Lonchura striata: one gene and its partner. The main gene of each other region encodes a partner of the protein of the gene in region 2 in a complex. Links are inferred from orthologs where the notes say so. Each region holds a gene or a part of one and is shown on either strand. Other genes may lie near its edges.

Region 1 (10,662 bases), on a different chromosome or scaffold from region 2:
TCCCGAATGTCCTCTTCAATGAGGAGGTAGGCCTGTGGCACAAGGCAGGGGACACCTCAGGGTGCCTGCGAGGGGCAGCCAGGGCAGGCCCACACCCTCAGCCACCACTGTCCCCGTGGGAGCCAGCCGTGCCTCCTGGCCCATGCCCCAGTCCTGTGGGAGGGGACAGACCTTGGCAGCGCCGTGTCCCCGTGCCCTGCCTATCCTGCCACCGCCGCCTGGCCCCGCGGCGGGCCCTGCGCCCGGCCGTACTCACCATCTTGCCCCCAATGGCCCTCATGTGCTGCTGCTCTGTCAGCCAGTGCTTATCCTGCGGGTCGGCTGCGTACTGCAATAAAGCAGCAAGGACCGAGCTGAGAACGGGCGACAGACCCTCCCCTGAAAGCCCCGCTCTGCTCTGCCCCCGCTCCGCCTGCCCTGCTCCAGCCTCAGCCCTGGCTCTGCCACCCCTGCTGCCTTGGCAGGCTGCGACACCACTGGCTAGTGTTATGTGCTATCCAAACCTTGGGAACACGATCTAAGACAACATACAAGGACATGGGGGAGGCAGTAAGCAAGGGAGCTGAAACATACATTCCTAATTCCCATGGGAAACCATCTGGCTGTGGCACCTGACCTTAAAGAGGTGGGGATGCTTGATGTAGAGTCGCCCTCTTGTTCCTCCCATCCCGAGAGCTCTGCAATAGGAACATGAGGGGTGTTAGGGCTGTGGGGAGGGCAGCTGTGGTAGCACAGGGACACCCCTCTCCTCCCCAAGCCCTTCCTACTGCTTTTGAGGCAGAGAAGCGAAGTGACGGGAGGAGTGTCACGGGCTCCTGCCTGGGGACACCACCCTCCATCGACAGGGCCGTTCCTTACTTGTTTGCTCGAGATCCCAGCACAAAGGTTGTGGTTTCAGTCAGTCGGGATGGATCCCACTACAGAGCAATTGGAAAAGGGGCAACATTAGAAATGAAGTTGCTGCTGGCCATGCTCCACAAGCCTCGGCTCTTTGACAAGGGAACCTTGGAGCTGCCTCCAGACTGGGAGGGAGGGAGCTGGCCAATGACCTCCAGCCTTCCTCAGGGGAGGGATGTTACATTCCGTCTGGGCTGATCTAAGCAGTTTCCCTCGTGGGAAACACTTGTGGGATTCTCCTGGCTACTCCCGGTCTCCTCAGGCCTCCCTCAGCGGCACCACACTGCAGGGCTACAGGCTGGGTGCCTGGGGAGACCAGCAAAGGCCTCCGGGCACTTCGCTTCCTCTTCTTGCTCCCGCCCTGCCCAAGGCCCCAGCAGGGCAGGGCACAGCCCGCGCTGTCCTGCGCTCCTGCTGGTGGGAGCAAAGGGGAGGAGAGAGGGAGCCCAGCAGTGTCGGACAGCTAATACCTTTGGTCCATCCCTTTTCACAGGCTCAGAGACTTTGAGCTTCCACCTGAGGGGAAGGAAAACACAGTAAGAATGAGTCCCAGTGGGATCAGCTTAGTCACCACCAGCAGCAGGGACTGAGCTCAAACCCTTCCAAATCCACCATTTTTTCACACCCTCCATTTCCCCACAGCGCCCGGCTTTGGACCTTCAACTTTGCTGCACATTCTCCTCTCCTGGTTGCCCAGATCCCACCATCCCCTGTGTCTCACCACTCATTCTGGATGGTCCATCTGGACCTTTTCACCCCTTTGGGCCTGTTTAAAAATCCCTCCCTTTAAGGTCTTTGCCTCCTGAGGGGAACACCTCAACCTAACCCTGCTTCTGCCCATACCCAGAAGAGCTCCCATTACTTCTCTGTAAGAGAGGAGTCTGTGGGGTTTCTGTGCTCCCCACACGCAGCCTCATTGTCCCTGCCCTCCCGAAACAGGGGCTCTAGCTCAGGGTTTGTACTCACGTTGCCATGCCTGAGACTCCACGGTCATTTGACAGGCTCTGTCCTGGAGGCCGCCCCTTCCTCTGCATGGAAGAAACCCTTCTGTGACCCAGCTGTGCTGCCTGAGGGAACCCTCTCAGCAACCCTCCCTCTCCCAGGGAAGCTGCTTCTTTTGTCACAGGCAAAAACACTGCCTGCGCCAGAGTGAGCACCTCCAACGCCTCAAAAAAGCTGCCCGTGCACCTCCCTGCACTCACACTGTGGGAATGGCCAGGAATGAGGGCCAGGCTTCCCAAAACATAAACTCTCTTGTGAAGAAAACCATCCTACCTTTTTTGGAATGGGGCTTCCTCGGCGGCTCAGCTCTTCATCCATCTGTCGGGCACGCTGGAAGGGAAGGGCAGTGGGATGAGCAGGGCTCCTCTCCCTACCTGGCCAGGTGAACACTGACCCCAGACCACCCCTGTGAGTAGCACTGAACTGCAGCAAGCAGCACCCACACCTGGGATTCTCTTTGCCCTGCATTCCCTTCAAGCCAAACATCCCCCACTCTGTCTCTGCACTACTGCACTGGCAGCCAAGAAGAGTCAGAGAACAAAGTAATCCCAACTCTTCTCCCAGCTTTCAGAAGTCATTTAAACCTCTGTGTACAATCACCACAATTACCTTTGGCACTGCCTGCTCATGGGGCAACCTGGGAACCACCTTTTTGCCATCTGAGAACAGCAGTTTGGCCTAAAGGGAGACAAAGAAGGTTCCCTGGATTCTGGGCTCAGAGAAGGCCCCATAAACAACCCCCACCTCTACATATCTGCCTAAAAACCCTGCAACAGCTTTGCTTTTGGAGTGCTACCAGGCCACGCTTCCACAGACAGCCAGATGCAAAAGCACAATTTGAGCATGATAAATTCTGGCAAACTGGCAGATAAGCAAGACATGAAAGGAAAAATCCTGGCCCACCCTGCTAGGACCTTCTGACGGGTGCTGGGGGCCAGTTTCTGTGGGACTCCAGCAGTGTGCCATGTTCCTTACAGCAGCAGTGAGAAGAAGCAGCATGAGCTGCCCAGCCCTGACTGCTCCCTTATTCCCAGAGAGAGTCACACAATGGCTGCGGATGTCCCCTCACAGTGACAGCAAAGCTGTAAAGAGGGACACATTCTAGCCAGGTTGCTTTGCTTGGCTGCACACTCAAGAGACACCTCCCCAGCACCCACCTGCTCCAGGCAGCTCCTACAGGTCTCCTGGATGAGCTGCTCTGGGTCCACCTCCTCCCCAACGTTATCACGCACGTTGATTGCTGCTGTCTGGAAAAACTGAAGAGGAGAAGGCAGGAGAGGGTGACAGCCTGCGCAGTGTCAGCTCGGCTCCTGCAGACAGGCGCGATAGCCTCGGTGGCACCGAGCTGTCCCCACGCACCTGCTGCTGCCCACCCGCCCCCAGCGCTCACCTTCATGTACTTGTTGAAGATGCCCTGGATCTCCTCGTTGATGCTGGGCTGCAGCACAGCCCGCAGCAGGTCCATGGACACGCTGGGGTCCGTGAAGCTGCAGGAGGAGAGGTCAGGAGGGGGGCGCGGAGCCCCCTGCCCCGGCCTCTCTAACCCGATCCTCCCTGCGCCCGGCGCTCCTCCCGACCCTGCAGTCCCATCCTTCTCCTCCATCCACCTCATCCCCTGGCCGCCCATCGCGGTCCCGCAGTCCCATCCTTCTCCTCCATCCACCTCGTGCCCTGGCCGCCCATCGCGGTCCCGCAGTCCCATCCTTCTCCTCCATCCACCTCGTGCCCTGGCCGCCCATCCCGACCCCGCAGTCCCACCCTTCTCCTCCATCCACCGCGTCCCCTGGCCGCCCATCCCGGCCCCGCGGTACCTGGTGGTCATCTGTGAGCGCCGCCCGCGCCGCTGCACCTGCCGGTGCTTGATCATGATGTTCCAGGGGCTCTGCGGGACACACGCGTCAGCCCCGGCCCCGCCGCGCCCGCTGCCCGCCCGGCCCGGCCCGGCTCCCTCCTCACCGTGCTGACCAGCTGCTCCTCGACATCGCCCGGGCCCTCCTCGCCCGGCGGCCCCGGCTGCTGCTCCGCCTCGCGGGCGGCGCCCATGGCCCCGCTCCGCGCCGCGCCGCCGGCGGCCGGATGCGCGGGGACCCGGCTCCTGCATCATCGCGCCCCGACGGACGTGACGCGTCCCGCGGCGGCGGGGCCGGGCCGGGGCCGCGCCCGGTGCGGGCTCGGCAGCCCTGCGCTCGCACCGTGCCCGCCCGGTGTCCCCGCCGGTGCCGCGGGGCGAGGCAGGGCGGCGCAGTCCCTGGAAGTCACCCGGTTCCACCCAGAGCAGGACCTGGCGCGGGGGGAGCTGGGCACACGTGGATTCTGTACCTGCAGCTGGAGTGTGAACGCCAGTCTTTCGTGATCTCCGTGTTTCCTCGTGTAATTCCTCTTTCTGGAATCTCGTTGCTTTTCTGAGGAAACACCCCCAAACCAGCATTTCCTCATCTTGTCTGATGTGTGCAGAATAGTCAAAACAACTTTTCTGTCGTTTTCTAGATAATCTCACCCCATGTTGTGGTCAAAGAGAAGCTTTTCTGTTGAATCAGCTGGATAACAATTTGCACTGATAAGCCATTTACTATTTCGGTAACATTCTCTCTCATTCCAAGATGATTCAGTGGGAGAAGCCAAGCACAGGGCATTCGCTGTGCAGAGCAGGGGTGTGCTCCAGCAGCCATCTCCAAGTGCTGTCCCTGTCCTCTGTGCCAGTGGGGCTGCCCTGAGCCGTGCTGCGGGGCAAAGTGGGATCTCCTTCCCACCAGCTTTGCCAGATGCTCAGTCGTGTTTCATTTGTGTTCAAGGGATGAGTGCACATGGCACCTGGAGCCATGGTCTAATCGACAAGGTGGTGATCAGTCACAGGTTGGATTTGATGATCTCAGAGGTCTTTTCCAACCTAAACCATTCCGTGGTTCTGTGACTAATGCTGTGGGGGCTGTGTTGGTACCTCTGGAGGATGTTGTGCTGGTGTTTCTCAGCACCTGTCACTGCAGCCTGTGGCTGTGTCCCCTCAGTGTGACTCTCCTGCGGTAGCTGTTGGCTCTGCAGTGACCACACTGGGCTCCCATGGAAGCCTGGAGTGGCTGTGGGAGCAGAGGCTGCTGACTCGTGGGCTCACAGGGTGGAAGAAGCTCCTGCCTTTGTCCCCTTCCTGCTGCTTTGGCCAGGGCTGCACCCGGGGTAAGCTTTGGGCTGTTAGACAAACCCAGTGGTGGATGTGGGGCCAACCAAGTCATCATCAACATCGACATAACTTCATTATCACCAGCACTGGGCTGCTTGTGTGCTTATTTTGGTTGCTTCAAGTTGTCAGCAATAAAAACTGGACATTGTCCAGAGGAGAAGAAGACTAACTGTGTCTGTACGAATGCCCAGAGAAAGGTGAGGAGAGTGATACTGTTAATCTTGTCCACCTTGGTGGACAAATGTCCTATGTGTTTATTTGAATTAAGTGAGGCTGACATCAGATCTTTGGAATAGCTTTCCAATTAACAAGAAGACTTAAATCCTGAACAAATTCTCAATGATGGAGAAAACACTTTTGCAGAGAGAGAGATATCTTTTCAAGAGTGTGTCAGGGATCACCTAAATCTGACTCATGTGGTGCCTTATTTGGGTCTCCTCCAGATCCTGGTTTTTAATGGTAATTTTTCCATGGATCTCTGTGGTAGGTGCATGTCTGCCAAACATGAACACCTGGTTCACAGCTGAGGTTACCCATGTTCCTGCTTGATTCTCAGGGAGACTTTGGACAAATCTCTGACCCTCAGTATCCTCAAGCATTTATTTCATCAGAACAATTTGCTTGTCAGACATTCTTCTCCATTTGATTCCTAAATGTTATCCAGGATTATGGTCTGCTAAAACAGAAATGTGCCAGAATTATGGTGTTGTTCCCAAAAGCAGGAACCACCAGGCAAGCACGGGGACAGCAGCAGTGCTGAGCTCTCCGTCGTGGCACTCCTGAGGTTGGAAGGAGCCTTGCCATCCCTCAGGTTGTTCCAGCTGGTTCTCCAGGTGCGTGGAAGGGAGTTGGTGCTGCTGACACCGGCTGGCCAGCACTGCCTGCCCCGGGGTGCCCGGCTCGGTGATTAACAGCCCCAAACCCGCGATAAGCACCGGGCCGGCGGGTTCGGCCGGGCTGCCAGGCGTGGAGCACCGGATCTCCGGTGGACATGGGTGGTTCGTGGAGGAATTGCATCCACCTTGAGTCACAGCAGGAGGAGAAGGATAAGCCTGTACTTAAAGCATTTTTCTTGCCATTATCCCTCTTCCCACACAGATTTGTGGAGACTTGTGCGGAGCTGTGCTCCTTCCTTTGCACTGGCCCTGCATTGCCTTGATGAGATGTTGATGGAAAGCTCTTTGAGCACGACTTTGCTTTTTCAGTGCTCCTGTCAAGTGCCAGCTTAGAGTTGTAGCAATAAGATCAATCTCAAACTCATTAATTTCACTCACCCCGCAGTTGCAAATTTAAACTTTATCTATTATCCAGAAACTCCAACCCATTTGTGCTTGGTGCTGATGTGTCCTGGGCAGACCAGTTCTTAACTTCTCCTACCCTATTCATTGCACATTGCTTTGTGTGTAATGCAGAAAGAAATAATTAAATAGAGAAGGAAAAAATTGGAAAATCAGATGCCAACTCACACTCCTGGGTGACTGGAGAATAACTTGGTGTAGATGGGTTAGCACTCACAGAATTGGATCTTAGTTAAGCTTAATCTGCTGCCTTAAACATATTAAATATGTCTTTACCCTGAGATCATATGCAGAGGAAAGGAAGGCAGTGTGGCAGTGCATCTAATTTTCATTTACTCTGACTGTGAGTTTCTGGTGAAGGCCAGCAGTTTGGCTGGCAGTTTGCAGACAGATTCCTGTGCCCTCCTCAGCACAGGTGAGCTCTTTTGCTTGAAGTCCCAAGACCTTTTCCTCCAGAGAGGTCTATTTTAGTGCAGCAATATTTCATTGGAGCAGATGTTCGCTTGGACAGTAAATAATCTGGTGTTTGTACATGCAGTAAGTGTGCACTCCCATTGCAAATTCATGTGGTTATTGAATGTTGTGTGTAAATTAATAGGGCTCTCATGCATGGACACTAAATCCTGCAATTCATGTTCAGGAGTTCCCAAAAGCTGATGGAGGCCTGGTTAATGGAGTCTGGTTGGTCTGGGGGAAAGACATACTGAGCTCTGACTTTGTCCAGAGTGAGCTGAGCTGCATGGGCTATGCTGTGAAAAGGAAGGTCCTGGGGAGGCCACAGAGCAGGAGGACCATGGGGACCAACATGAACTTGCTCGGGAAACTTTGAGCTCATTTGTGTGCCTAAACCTGGCAGCGGACAGTAGGAACTCTGAAAGAGCTGGAGCCCTCTGCTTGAGAACGGGATGGTTCAGAGCCAAGTGTTCAAATGAAGCCTTGAATCCTTGACCTACAAAAATCTGCAAAGAATCTCCACGTGTGAAACAGGAGCCTTGAATGAAGGGCATTTTGCATGTGGAAAAAGGGAGCTCCTGGTGCTGCTGCCAGGTGTTGTTGCCCTGATCCTGCTCCATCCAGGATGGCAGGGCCAGGACAGGCTCCAGCCTGCAGCAGAGTCCAGCACTGGGGCAGAGCCCGGCACTGGGGTCACTGCTGTGGATAAAGGTTATCATGGGCATTCCTGCTGAGAGCAGCAGTAAAGAATCTGCCTCTGTGCAGTCCTGGATCTCCCTTCCATCCTTCAGTCCTTGTGCTGTCCTCCTTGGAGTGCAGCCAAGTCTGGATCCTGCTCCTGCCTTGGCTGTGGGTGGAGCTGGAGTGGCTCTTCGGTAAACAGAATTAAAGGCAAATGTGGGAGGTTCCCGAAGTCACCTGTGGCCTGCCTCCTCCCATTCCTGGACCCGGGCTCCCTGCTAGACCCTTTAAATTGCCAGTTGGCACAGCCCTGGACACAGACTTCATCAGCATGGCACCAGGCATCCTCCTGCTGGGGCTCCTCTCCCTGTGGGCACAGCTGCAGGCAGCACCCATTGCAGGCAAGTATGGGTGGGTGGGAAGAACATTTAAGAATGTTTTTTCCTTATTTTCATAGAATCACAGGTGTTTTGCAGGTGCTGGCAGGTGCCAGGTTGCTGCCTTGTGAGGGCCAGGGAAGCCGTGGGGTGAATTGGGGGGATGAGCCCAGTGCCACAATGAACTGTGGCACAGTGCCACCTCTCCCCGACTCCCCGGCGTACCTGGAGCCCATGTGGCTGCTGGCCCCAGGGCAGAGGTGCCCAGGAGAGCCCCTCAGGCACCAGCCCCACCATGACACTGCCATGAGCTGGGAGGCAGCAGCATGGTGAGTTGCCTCAGCCTTGAGGGCAGCAGGGGTCAGGCAGAGCCCTGAAAGCCCCCCAGGAAAAGCAGCAGAGGAGAAGACAGCACAGCATCGTGGTTAAGTGGGCTGCCGGGTGGGAGCAGTGGATGGAAGGACAGCATGCTGGGGCTGATGCTGCTGCTTTCTGCTCTCCTGCAGAGTTCCATGGAGTAGCTCCAGCTGGGTGGCCACCACCAGGACAGCTGGGAAGAACCCTGAGCCTTGAGCCTGGGGAAAAGCCCAGCACAGTGCCTGACAGCAATGGTGGTGATGGTGACAATGACAACAACAGCTCCAATAGAAATGAAATGGGTGATTCCAATAGCCATAAAAGTGGTGAGTCCAATAGCAGTGAAACTGGTGATGATGGCCACAATGCCAATGACCATGATGGTGATGATGGTAATAGAAGTCAACTTTGTGATTGCAATGATCATAATCATGGTGACAACCACAGTGATGTTGGTGATGATGGTGTCAAGAGTGACCATTCTAACAGCAAGGAAGATGGTGATAAAAATGATGGCAAGGAAAATGACAATGGTAATGGTGACAATGACAGTGGTGATGGTGATGATGGTGTCAACGGTGACAATTCCAGTAGCAATGAAGATGGTGATGATGGTGTTAAAAATGACCTTTCTGATGGCAAGGACAACGACAGTGACGATGGTGATGATGACAGTGACGATGGTGATGATGACAGTGACGATGGTGATGATGGCAATGATGATGGTGGTGATTTCATCAGTGATGAAAATTCCAATAGCTATGAAGATGGTAATGAAGGCATCAGTGATGATAATTCCAATAGCTATGAAGATGGTGATGATGACATCGACAGTGACAGTTCCAATAGCAGTGAAGATGGTGACTCCAATGACAATGAATATGATTACTCCAATAGCAATGAAAATGGTGATGACTATGGGGGGTGGAGATTTTAGATTGTAAGGGTGTAATTGCCCTGGGATTTTCAGAGATTTTTGGGTTCCTCTTATGTGGCATCCAGCTCAGGCTACCAGATTTCATGCTTGACCTGTGCCAATAAATATATCTAGTGAACATGAGAGCTTAGTGTCAAAAATTTCTTTAACAGCTCGGCAACCCAAGTGAGGCACTTGTTCACTTGCCTGTTTTCTTCCAAGCACCAGATATCCAAATTTGCAGCAGCAGATGTTTCACCCAGGAGCTCTGGTGTAAGGAAGGACTAAGTAGTGAGTGTCAGATCTCTAAAGGAGATTCAAGTCCTGCCTTCTACAAGTTTGGGTTTTGTGGGTTTTGGGAAGCATGAGCAATGTACCTGGCATAAAGAAGAGGATGACTTAGCCGAGGCACGGCAGAACTGGGAGAAGATAGTTGGCACCATTAAATGATCTCTAAAACTCACAGTGATGTTATGCCAGGAGGAGGGGCCATATATTACTTGACATGTGGGGCAAAACCTGCAGAAGTGTGGCCACACAGGGGGTTTCAAGGAGTCTGTTTTGATTTGCCTTCAACATAGATTACAGAACCAGTACACAGGGCAGATGGACTGTTGATGTGTATGGGATAACTGAGCTTGGGAAAAGCAGCATCTCGGGAGTGGGGTTGATATATGATATCCTGAGGTAAATTCTAGCCCAGACTCTGCTCCTCCCTGTGTGCCAACTGAAAAAGATTTTCCATTGTCTATTCCTGTTGCTTTGCTTTCTATGCTCTCTGCTACTTCACCTGCAACTGCCCCAATCCAGTCTGGACAAATTATATGAGTACTATTATCAATGGGCAGGCAACAATTGTTTTAACTTATATCCATTGGCCCTGGATACAGGAGATTTAGTGTTGTGGGCTACTAACATGCCAAGGCTGAGCGGAGATGCAGAGCAATATGCTCAAATTATTTTCTTTCAAATTTGTGCTCCACATGATGAAAACTGGCAGGATTGAAAAGCTATGGAAGAAAAGCTAAAGGTGGCCAGGGACTGTATAAAAGATGAAAAGAGCAAAGGAGTTTTTTGTAAGATATTAGATGTCTGCACAGAAGCTGCCTGTTAGGATAGGAAAAACTATAGCAGAGAGAAATAAGATCTGAGAGAGAAGCAGAAGGTTGGAAAGAAGCTGTATTATTGTCTTTGAAAACTGAGAAGCTGCATAAACAGGAAGAAAAGCTACAGGAAGAAAAGAAAAAAAAGTCAGAATAAAAGATTGAAGTTATATTTATGTGAACTCCCTGTCCTCTGACATTGTATAGATTAGAAAACTAACTGCTATCCCCTGAAGAATGAGATTGGAAGGATTTAGGGCAGCCCTGACCACAGTGAACCTGGAAAAGATGATTCTTTGTTTCCTTCAAATCCCCCTGAATATGAAACCAGACTCTTTAGAGAAACAGAAGAAACCAGTGGACCTTAGGATAGAATGGGAAATTATACTCCAAAGAGTCCCAT
Region 2 (10,941 bases):
ATGATACCTCTCATACATATGAGGAAAGAGTAAAGAAATGAACAAGTACCTATAAACAGACACTATGGTAAATCCAGCAGAGACAGAATACTTGAGTTTGGTATTTGAATACTTTCTTCATGGTTGCCTTCATGGATTATGTGTATTCCTGGCTCTTCTACTGTACATCTTGGTTACATTAGCCTCTTCCAGATAACATCCTTTGCTTTCTCAGTCCACTGTGGCTTCAAGGAGCTGGAGAAATCTCTGCAGGAGTGGGAGTGGGGGGAGATGAGGGAGGAGCATGCATTTGCAAGGGAGGAAAGATCCTCCTTATTGTGTAGAAGGGGAGGGTTCTGAGACAAAATGTCTGAGATGCATTGATAAAAAACTTCATTGCTTCCTGTTTGGATTGCTGCATTTCCTTCAGCTGGCAGTCCTGGGGCAGCCATGAAGATACATGTTCCTGTTGGCTAACAGAAAACATAAATAATGCTCAAATGCTCAGTGGACCATGTATATAATATAACCACATCTGTATTTGGGAAGCATTCCTGCCTTGGAATACCATATTCTATGTAGGGCTGTTGCCATGAAATTGTGGTTTATGCCCTATGTAGAAATGGAAAAAAATTGTTTTAGATTGTACTACAAGCCTTTTAAGATTCCCATTGACAAGAAAAAAAAGAAAAAACTGTAAATTTTGTATTAAAAAAGAATAAGGAGAGGAAAAAAGAACACACTCCATAATGAGAGAGGAAAAAAGAACAAACTCCATAATTGTACTAGTAAACATTAAGAGAGTAACTGAATTAATTTTCCTTACAATGGAATATGCAATGTACTTTATGCAAAAAATAAAGAATATTCAGAGATCACAGAGATAAACAGACCAACTGGCTGGGATCGGTCACAACTTGGTATTGGAAGGAATCATGGAGAACTGCCAAAATACAACTAGGTTCCAGGTATGGAAATCAGAATGATGCAACTTTCTTGTGAATTTGTGAAGAACAAAACTTCACAGCAATTCACCAAAAACTCTACAGTGTAATGGTGATGACAGGAGAAGCTGCAGCCTGACTTGCACCAATGCAAAGTGCCAGCACAGGCAAGCACGGAGTGACAGAGAAGCAGGATTAAGGAGTAGAGGGACAGATAAAGTCATCAAGGTGCATAATTATGTGCTTGCAGATTATCCTCTGTATTTGGTACCTGCCTATCACATATGTCTTATTTATACATGTTGGCATCTCCCACTGTGGTTTACATTCCCTTGCTATTCTGTAATTTATTTATGTGATGGAATAGGGATGAATCCTCATGAGAGAGTACCATGGGCTGCCAACAGAACATGGTGTTAGCAAATGCTCACTTTCTGATTCCCCTGATGCCCCTAGATTTATGCAGCATATGTTTCAATGTAATTGCAATGGTTCTAAGTCCTTGTCACTAAAACCTGTTTGGGCTGGAAGTTTCTTGAATGACTGTAAGGGTCAAATGATCTAAAATGGGCTTTGAGATTGCTGCTGGTAATACATGAGCTACTGAAGATCAGAAGAATTTCCTAGTTGACGTTCTCTATAAGAGATGACTTTAAGGATGTTCTTCTATATATGCACATACATACATAGATATATATCTTGCATAAGACATATAAATAATAAATAACACAAATATTACAGAATCCTACAAAGATTCCAGAATCCTGCAAATACACCATGTGCCATTAGTTATTACCAATTACTTGAGTCAGTGGGACAGATCTTATTTTTATATTATTAAACAGCCTATTGATCTAATTAAATACCTTCTGCATGGTTCAATAAAAAATTGGTCTACTTAGAGTATTAAAGAAACAACCTAGATTATTCTCTGTAATACTAATTCCTAGTAAATAACATCAATGTTATACAAAGAGAGAAAAAATATCATAGCATATTGTTTCAAATTCTTGATCTTGTTGAGAGCTACTAGACCATGGACTTTTCCCAAGATAGTAGCATTATTATATATATTATCTAAATTATGATGATAAATAATTAAATAGAGCTAAAGAATTTATGGTGCTTTATATTTTCAGAGTTCTAATATACATATATTCATCAGTTCATTTTCTAATTTTCCTCTCACACAGTATGTAAGAAAATATAATCAATAAATATTTAAGAAAAAAAACCAGAAACAATTTACAGGCAGTTTCTTATTTTTTTAACTTTTTTGTTGTTTTTACATTTTTTTAATATCATCCTCCTTAAGGTAATTTGAACCTAATTTTCAGAAGGACTTGTATCATTAATCAGTCAACTGAGCAGCCAGAAGAATTTGGTATCCTACTATTGTACGTGTAGATTTGTGACACTTTGGTGATGGGGCATGTTGGAGTTTAGTACAATCTGCATACTGAACTCCTAAAATGCAGGATAAGTATAGTGTGACAGAAGGGTTTTTATGTGGATTTGAGCATTGGGAGCTAACCAAACTGAGCTATTCAAAATCCATGTGGCCTTCAGCTCACCACTTAGCTTGTTCAAATACTGTATTTTTCTCTATTTTAGTGAACAATGTTACCACAGACTGTTGTTTGTAAAACAAACAAACAAATAATGTGGCATTCTGGGAAAAGTGATAGTAACTGCAGAAAGATTACAAAGTCTTTTAAAAACTATACAAGCTAGCAAAATTAGGAAGAAAGCATCAACAGTTCTGGTTTTCAGCATGCCACATAATTTGTTACTTCATAGATTCCCGCACTGTCATTCCCACCACAGCATCTGAGCTTCTTTCAGTAGTGTTTAAGCAATGTGAATAACTTTGTTTCACATGTGGTTTCTTTTCTAAACCACAGTGATCCTCCCTTTCCCTCATGTAACAAGGTTTCCTCCTGGTTCTCAGGGAGCCAGGTCATGACACTCTGTGTGTGTGTACATATGTATTTACACATGCATGCTCTATAAATACATGTAGTTTCTCCCCAGGCTGATCAAAGAAACTGAATCTTGCTCAAATCTAGCTTGAGTGAAGTGTTTTAATTTTAAAGTCAGATAAGAAGAGTAAAATACAGGTACAAAGGTTTTTGTTTTTTTTCCTTTTTGAAAACACTTTTAAATAGGCCAAACCCCTTCTTTCCAAACATTGTATATGTCTGCATCAAGTTTCCCAAGAGAAGTTGTACCCAAGCATAATATTTCAAATATAGTAACTTGAGTGATTAATTCTGACAAAGATGGGAAACAGACATTGGTATTGGAGAAACTAAAATTTCCCTGTAGTATAAAGTAATTGGTCTTGTATAAAAACCATTTTTATGAACATTTTCTCCTGTAATAGTGCTGGGAAATGGTGACTATGAAGGAATGGCTTTTTTTGAACTTTCACTGCTGTGCACTGGCAGGTGAGTCTTGGCAAAGTGCAGGGCTTTGCATTAGTCTGTGTTGAACTTCACCTCCATTCGCTGGCTTGTCTAGAAGCAGCCCTGCCTCTGAACATTGAATATATTTATGGGATAAACATTGCAGCTATTAATTACTAGTTTATGCTGACATTAATATTTTTCAATAAAAATCACATCCTATTGAAATTTTAGAGGAAATTTCGGTGTGATTATGAGGTGGAAGTTTAGGCTTATTAGAATCTGAAACTCCTATTACAAAGGGTGTAAATGCTTTTTTATTGGCTATAGTGGTTAAGACCTTCATTTTATACCTAATTTCAGGGAGAACTAATGGCTCCATAATGTCTCCCATCATACCGGAGCACAAGTTCAGCTCTTGAGAATTACAAAGAGGGCGGGACCTTGGCTCTGCTCTGGCACGGTGAAAAGAGTGCCACCTACTGAGCCTGTGGCTCGATTTTGCAAACTTAAATATGCAGAGCATAGTCTTTAATCCAAATTCTGACTCAGTGCAACCCAGTGTATTAATGATATGAGTCGATGTTGTTACACTACAAGATGTGTCTGTACAAGCCAAAGAAAATGAAGATTTTATATGCTGATAGCTAGGAGATCTTCCAATCTCCTTCAGTGTAGTAACAAAATAATGACATAACAGGGAATGCGTGTGCATTAAGTTTTGTCGTTGTAAAGCTGATAGAGGTGCAGCCATCGTGTAGTCTCAGCATATGCTGAGAATAGGAGAAAGAAAAACTTTTAAAAAGCATAGCAAAAGCTGTTACTGAAAAGAAGAAAATTATGATGGCTGGTTCTGGAGAAGATGTAAGGACCATGTAATGTGAGGAATGGAGAAACAATTTAAGAGTGTATAACTGTAAAATCCTTACAAAACACTTCATAAAACTTTTATTGCTTGGTAAGGTAAACACTAACATACAGCTCTATAAACTTCATGATGCCTTTGAAGTCTTTCTTCTATTTTAGATCCATAAACTAGTTGGTGTACCTACCTGCTTGCTTGTTTTTGTTCTCATCCCATTTGGTATGTTTAGGAAATACAGTCATTCTTTCCTATAGATTTTGCATCTTACAGTGTGTTTCAGCTTTGTCCTTATGGTTACTATGTTGTATTTGGCTCAGCATTCCTATCTGCATGATACATTATTTAGGAGGGAAATATCAAACCCAACAAGTTAAAATATCTCCTAGAGAAGGGTAGAAAGCACACTCCCTACTCTGTGCAATGTTAGCTTCTGTAGCCGGATGATGACGTTTCTGCCATTGTCTGCTGCTTTTATGTGATTAAGTATTGTGAAACGCAAGATGCTGCTCATCATTTTACTCCCAGCCTCCAAACAGGTGAAGTAGAACATGCATTTGTTCTGTCTGGAACAAAGAGATACACTTTACTGTTAGGACATGATTTAAAATCCCAGAAGACTGGTGGGATTCAGGTTTATTTTTGCTTAGGTTTGTTCTTCCCCCAATGAAAGCTGACATAAGTAATTTCAATCTCAGTATCTGATGTGCTTCATGGGAGGTACCGATTGCCTAACATAACAGAGAGGAAATAACTCCAGTTTATTGAATCTCTCTTTTCAATCTTTATTAGGGCAAATTAAATTAATGAGTTGTATGCCTTTGACTACAGATATTTATTATATGTTCAATAATTTGTTTGCTTTACATATTAGGTAATTTGTGAACATCTGGGAATATTCTTTCTATATTGATTTAAATAGCTGCATTATATTTAAATAGCATTATATTTAAATATAATGAATTTGGAAGACCAAATGGTGCTATAGCAGAGTTTTCCTGAAGGTCCTATTGAGACAGTGTTGCATCAAACGATACCTCTGGTTGTGAAAGAAAAAAAAACCTTTACCAGTAGTACCTGTGGCTACTATTTTGCTCTTTACCACACCATATGTCTCACTGTTATCCTCTGCACCATGACAGGAAAAGATTGGGTGTGGTAATTAGACTGCTGACCTGGGACTCATCAGAGTAACCTGGTTATGCATCTGTAGTCATAGGCAAGTCACTTTTCTGGGCTCCTGTTTCTACATATCTTGAGCTTCCCTGGTAAAAAGTTCTGCAAGGAGCTATTGTGAAAGAAACATGAACTACAGTGAGCAGTACAAAAATTACTTCTATAATTCACTCTATAAGGCAATACATGCTGGAAGGGAAACTACCCTGCTGCTCTGGAAAAAAATCCCAAAATCCAGCAATGCTGCTGGATTCAGTGTGCACTGAATGATCTGAGCCTGGATGGAAGGTAAGCACGTGGCAACGTGCACACTGGAGAAAAATGTTTGGCATTTTCATGTTGTTCGATGTTTCCCTGAATATGAGTCTAATCTGTGAATGCTGTCTAAAGGTTATTTTATAATCTAAAAGTTTCACTGATTGTAACAAACTCGAGTAGCAGAGCAGTCTACAGAGGGAGCAATGACAAAGCAACTTCTTTATTTCCTGCCTTAGTAGAGTAGAGTAGCATACCTACATTTGTCAGCACACTGTGTTTTTTATTCTCGGACCAAGGCAGCAGAGGAAGACATATTCCAGAAGAGGAGCTGGACATTTTTTAGAAGCCTCAGAAGTATGAATTATTGTGAAAGTAAATTTCAGGTGTTGGTAAAACAGCCAACAATATAGACACGACCTGAGGATTTGCATTAGACTAACATCCTTTCTCCCTTCCCTTTTTTTTTTTTTTTTTCACTTTTTCTTCTGAAAAAGTGAAGAGAAAAGGGACCAAAAGGCGGAAACAGAAATGCATGTTTTCCTTTGGTACGGGTTTCCTTAAACCCCAAAAGTTCTTTGTTTTTCTTTAGAGAGAAAGGACACGAAGCCTTGTCTTGCTGAAGAGCCTGGCTCTGAACTCGGGGCATCAAAGCGGCGCTTTCCGCCGGGTACCGGACACGGCAATATTTTGCAGGGCTTGGCTTGGCTTTCAAATCAATGCTGCAAACTCTCTGCCCGCCCCTCACTCGTTGGGGATTTCCTCTCCTTCGTTGCCAACAGCAGCGACAGCCAAGCGCAGAAGGTCAAGCCGAGCCCTGCGGACAAGGGCAGGGGGCCCGGGCCCGTGCCGGGATGAGGCGCTGAGGGCCGGCGGGAAGCTGCGCCGCGGAGGGAGGAGGAGGAGGAAGGCGGGAGGAGGAGTTGAGGAGCCCGGGCCCGGGAGCCTCCCCGCTTACTGCACTAGGAAGTGACGCTTTCGCTGAGTCCCGGAGAGAAAGAAACAAAGTTTGTTTTTTTTTTTTTTTTTCTCTCCTCCTTCTTCCCTCCCGCCCCCCTCTGCAAACAGCCGCTCCACGTTCCCCTGCGGCGCCCTCCGTGCCTGGCTGCGCAGGTGAGCCAGCCCGTTCTCTTTCTTCCTTATCTTGTTTTCCGCGCGGTTATTATTTTTTTTTAATTTGCACGATTTGCTTCCGTTTTCCTGCCATTTTGGAGAGGGGGTGTCTTTCCTGGGGCTTTTTTTTTTTTTTGTGGGTGGTGGTGCGTGCTTTGTTTGTGGGTGCTGGGTGCAGGATGAGGAGCAGAAGTACCTGTGGAGGTGACGAGGGCGGCTGGCTCCGCGCCCGGGCCGCGCAGCCCCACGGGGCCGGGGCAGCAGCGCTCCCGGCCCGCCTGCTGCGGGGGACCAGGCTCGGCTGCTGAGCCATCGCCTCCTGCCGTACCCGGAGTTGTTACAAGCGCTCCGGAGGGGTTTCTTCGCGGCTGCCAGGCTGCTGCACCGTTTTCAGGATGTGTCCGTGTCCGGGTGAGCTGCCTGCGGATGGAATTTTGGGGGGTTGGTTTGGGGCAGGGGGAGGTTCTCTTTGCTCGCGGCGTGGCGGAGCCGGGGCAGCTCGGCGTGTGCGGGGCCCCCGGTGCTGCGCGGGAGCCGCCGAGTCCCGGCAGCCGCTGAGCGCGCATCGTGGCGAGGGTCGGATCGCTCTGCTGGGGTTTACGCAGTGGAGGGGGGTGGGGAGGAATTTGTTAGATAATTTTTGAAAAATCCCGTGCTCTCAAGTGTACAGATATTTTCTGGCAGCAACTGCAAAAGACCGATTCGTTGCAGTTTAGCAGTAAAAGCTGACAATACACCTACGCGCGTATGTGAGAGTCTTATATAATACTTACGGGTTTTTTTTTTTTAACAGGCGTAAGCAGGATTTATTTTTGGTTTGTAAAGTCTTGTGTGATTGCAGCTTGCAGAATTAGCGAAATATTCGATTTGCTCAACAGAGATTTACTGTACATTCTTTTAGAAACATCTAATTTTTTAATAATAACTTGATTTCATTCCGACTACGTGTTTTGAGCTTAGTGTAAAGGCCATCTATACTGGAGCAAGCAGTTCAGGGAGGGGAAGAGAGAAAAAGAAATGTCCTAATGCAGAGACTATTAGGTTGTTTAGAGGGCGAGACTGCAGTTCCAAGCAGCAACAGCAGCAGCTTTATGACTGTGTGTAATTACAGAGTGATTGCATAGAACAGCATTGTTGGAACGAATACGTATACACAGGCTATTGTGCAAGATTTCTGTACCGAACAAAACCTAGTTTTGCATTGCAAATGCTAAAAAGAGAATGTGTTCTGCAGTGGACTGCCACGTTCCTCTTTGACTCCTTCATAGACTTGGAAGAGGAAGATAGGAGAAGTGGAGTGAGGCTGATCGTAGAAATCACAGATCTGAAATACTCAGCAGTAACGCCACTAGTAGTTTCTGAAATCACAGCAAACAGAAATTGAAAGCTCATTGAATCTGCGGGATCATGTTTCTAAAGTGATTTTATACAAGGTGAAATCTAAGCAGGTTTGCTACAGTCCTGCACATTTAGCATAATTCTTGATCTGTTCTAATTTTTTGTGTGCTTGTGTGGGAAAAAGACCTATGTTAAAATAAGCAACTGCAGTTTAACTAGCTAGCTTGGCAGTGGAGAGAAGGGCACTGGGGAGAGTTTCTGTGTCAGGCCACAAAACTGAGAGCCTGAAAGAACTACCAGACCAGAGATTTGCTCAGAGCATGCTTTTTCAATGTTAATTCAAAAGTTGCATCTGGTTCAGCGATCTTTTAGGCAGTGTTGGCTGAGGGATAGTATGAGACACTGAGAAAGTGTGCCACTGACACTGTATTAGCAAGGCTTTTAACTAAGACTTTAAAGAACATCATAATTATGGTAAAGTTCTTGTGGATACAACTTAAGGTCTCTAAGATTTCTTTTTCAGCAATGCTGGTCACCTGTTATTTTTATCAGCTGAGTTTTGAGAGTACTTGGAATGAATGGCATATCAGATCTGAAAGATTTCAGCTCTGGTGCTCAGAGACTGGCCTTTCTAACATTAGAGACAATTTTCTAGAAGTGTTATCTTCAGCTATTATAGCTGATGTCTTAATAAATGCTACAAAGGCTTGTAAAGTATTTTGAGCACTGCAATGAAAAGTACAATAAAAATGGAAAGCTGCTTTTAAATTTCTTGGTGCTCCACTACAAAATATTTTAGCTGAAGGCACAGATCATATTATTGGTAGTTTCCTCAGGTTGTCAAAAAAATGTTTCATGTAAAACACATGTGGCTTTGCTAATGAAGAATGAAGGGATCTGCTGATGGTGTTTTTTGTGTTCTGTTTATTGGGGGTTTTAATGTCATTTGACAAACAATCTTAGTGATCCTTCTGTAAGTTTATTGGAGCATTTTGCTTTAATAGAACATATGAAATAAATATGTTAATACATGCATTACTGTGATGTTCTACTTGTGGATTTTGCTTGAAATTGTACTTCATGTCTTGACTAACTTGACAATCTATGTTATATTGGATGTTCTAATGTCAGAATTACCTCTGGAGTAGTTCTTAAAGATTTATTGAATAATTTGTGGTAGTGATTCAATATAGTCATTCCTTATGCTAAGTCTTTTGGTTTTCACAACCTATGTGGTAGGAGAGAGTTTTTGGCCAGGATTCTTTGGACTTGTATACAAAGGAGTAGGTAACTTGCACGTCCTTGAGTTGTCCTGTGGTTCTCAGTGGACTTAGTCATAGATATATATACATTTGTGTGCATGCTTGCAAAACAAAGGTGTAGCTGTGCTAGCCTTTAACCCATCCAGGTGCATGCGAGTAGTGATGATATGAAATTATGAGAGCTGTAGCACAATGCAGGCTTTTCAAAAGCCTGCATAAATGCTCCAAATGTTAGTTTACATTTTTGCATTTTCACTCTTATGGTCACCTGTCAGTGGTGGCTGCAGAACCATGGGAGATATTTTCAAGCCCATCATCCCTATCAATGATACTCTTCTGTCAAGCTGCTAATCAAGCCCTTAAGTTGCCCCTGACTTGAGGACACACAGCCTTTCTTTGGAAATGGCCACCTTGGTGGTGTGTGTGTGGAGGTGTGCCCAGGCACGTAAGGAGACAAGAGGGACTGCCATGAATCAGAGTGAAAATCTGTCTAGCCTGTGGCCCTGTTTGCAAAGGTGTGTATATTTTCTATATGCTTAGCAGTTCTTGAAGGATTTCTACTCAAGAAACTTACATAGTTTTCTGTTGAGTTTAGGTAAACATTTAGCAAACACCTTTTTTTAACCTACTGATCAAATTGTGCAATAAGAATGTTCGTAAAAACTGCTTTTTTTTTTCTGTTGTTTCACTTTTTATAAACACTCCCCCCATAATAAAAAATAAAACACCCAAAGTACCAAAACTCTGAGATTTTTTGTTTGATTGTTTTTGTGTGTGGATTTTTGTATTGTTTGGTTTTGTTTTGTTTTTTTTGGTCTGGAGGATTGCATAATATCTTAGTACTGTTTGCAGTAAATTAAAGTTTATGCTAAAATGAAATATAGTAAATATGAATATTGTCTCCAGTGCAATTAGTTACAGTCTAAGAGACATGAAGTGAGACGTAAACCACGTTTTGTGAAATGGGGAGGTGAGGAAGGCAGGAGCTCTGGTGGTGAGGTTTTGCAATACATGCTCAAAAAGCTGCAGGTTCTGGCACGAGCAAACCAAGGCTCATGAGTCACATCCAAAGGGAAGACTCGTCACTGAGCAATTTGTAAATAGGAGGGATGAGCTGCTAATTCAGGGAAATATCCTGAGGACCTTCCCTAATAATTGCAAGTGTGGCAGAGAGAGCTTTATGTCAGGCGGGAGTTGCTTGTACTTTGAATCACAAGTTCCCCCGGTGTGATTTGAGCCTTCAAACTAAGAAATCCTTGTTATGCGTTGCACATGTCCCTGAAAGAGGTGGCTGGTCAAGCAGTAATGTAAGTTTTTGTAGCTGCATAGCAGCCACTTGCATTCTGTGTGGCAGCTCCAGCAGCTCGCAGTGGACAAGTGGCAGGTGCCTGCAGCAGGAGGCTGCTCAAGGAGCACTTCACAACACTTTGCACAGCTTCTTTTTCTGAGCGGTCTCCAAATGTAGCCCTTAGTGCTCTGCTGATCGACTCCAGTGACTGAAAAAGTTATGAAGGAAAGCTCTACTTTGCACACCGGGGAAAAAGTGTGAACGCATGCATTTTGAATGCAGCCCGAGTACTTAGGAGCAATCATTCGAATGTAGA

Evidence for each region. The genes of interacting proteins can lie anywhere in the genome.
Region 1: the proteins of MIDEAS (region 2) and DNTTIP1 are in contact, whole or in part, in a cryo-EM structure (PDB 6Z2J), measured with the Homo sapiens proteins. The link is inferred for Lonchura striata from reciprocal best matches to the Homo sapiens genes MIDEAS and DNTTIP1. Residues at the interface, in NP_001036783.1 of Homo sapiens: Gln768, Asp771, Leu772, Thr774, Ala775, Ser778, Ser779, Ile802, Leu803, Leu806; in NP_443183.1 of Homo sapiens: Pro63, Ser66, Leu69, Leu70, Ala72, Val73, Leu74, Pro76, Ser77.

Annotation. Positions count from the first base shown.
Region 1 is NC_134619.1:8,171,415-8,182,076, reverse strand, and holds the start of DNTTIP1 (deoxynucleotidyltransferase terminal-interacting protein 1), read right to left. Parts: upstream 3,964-10,662; 5' UTR 3,943-3,963; coding exon 3,856-3,942; intron 3,782-3,855; coding exon 3,711-3,781; intron 3,387-3,710; coding exon 3,290-3,386; intron 3,156-3,289; coding exon 3,057-3,155; intron 2,578-3,056; coding exon 2,509-2,577; intron 2,230-2,508; coding exon 2,173-2,229; intron 1,926-2,172; coding exon 1,864-1,925; intron 1,414-1,863; coding exon 1,368-1,413; intron 918-1,367; coding exon 859-917; intron 678-858; coding exon 617-677; intron 329-616; coding exon 257-328; intron 33-256; coding exon 1-32. UniProt on the Homo sapiens protein: Increases DNTT terminal deoxynucleotidyltransferase activity (in vitro). Also acts as a transcriptional regulator, binding to the consensus sequence 5'-GNTGCATG-3' following an AT-tract.
Region 2 is NC_134608.1:35,883,747-35,894,687, reverse strand, and holds the start of MIDEAS (mitotic deacetylase-associated SANT domain protein), read left to right. Parts: upstream 1-6,516; 5' UTR 6,517-6,737; intron 6,738-6,868; exon of another isoform or gene 6,869-7,148; intron 7,149-10,941.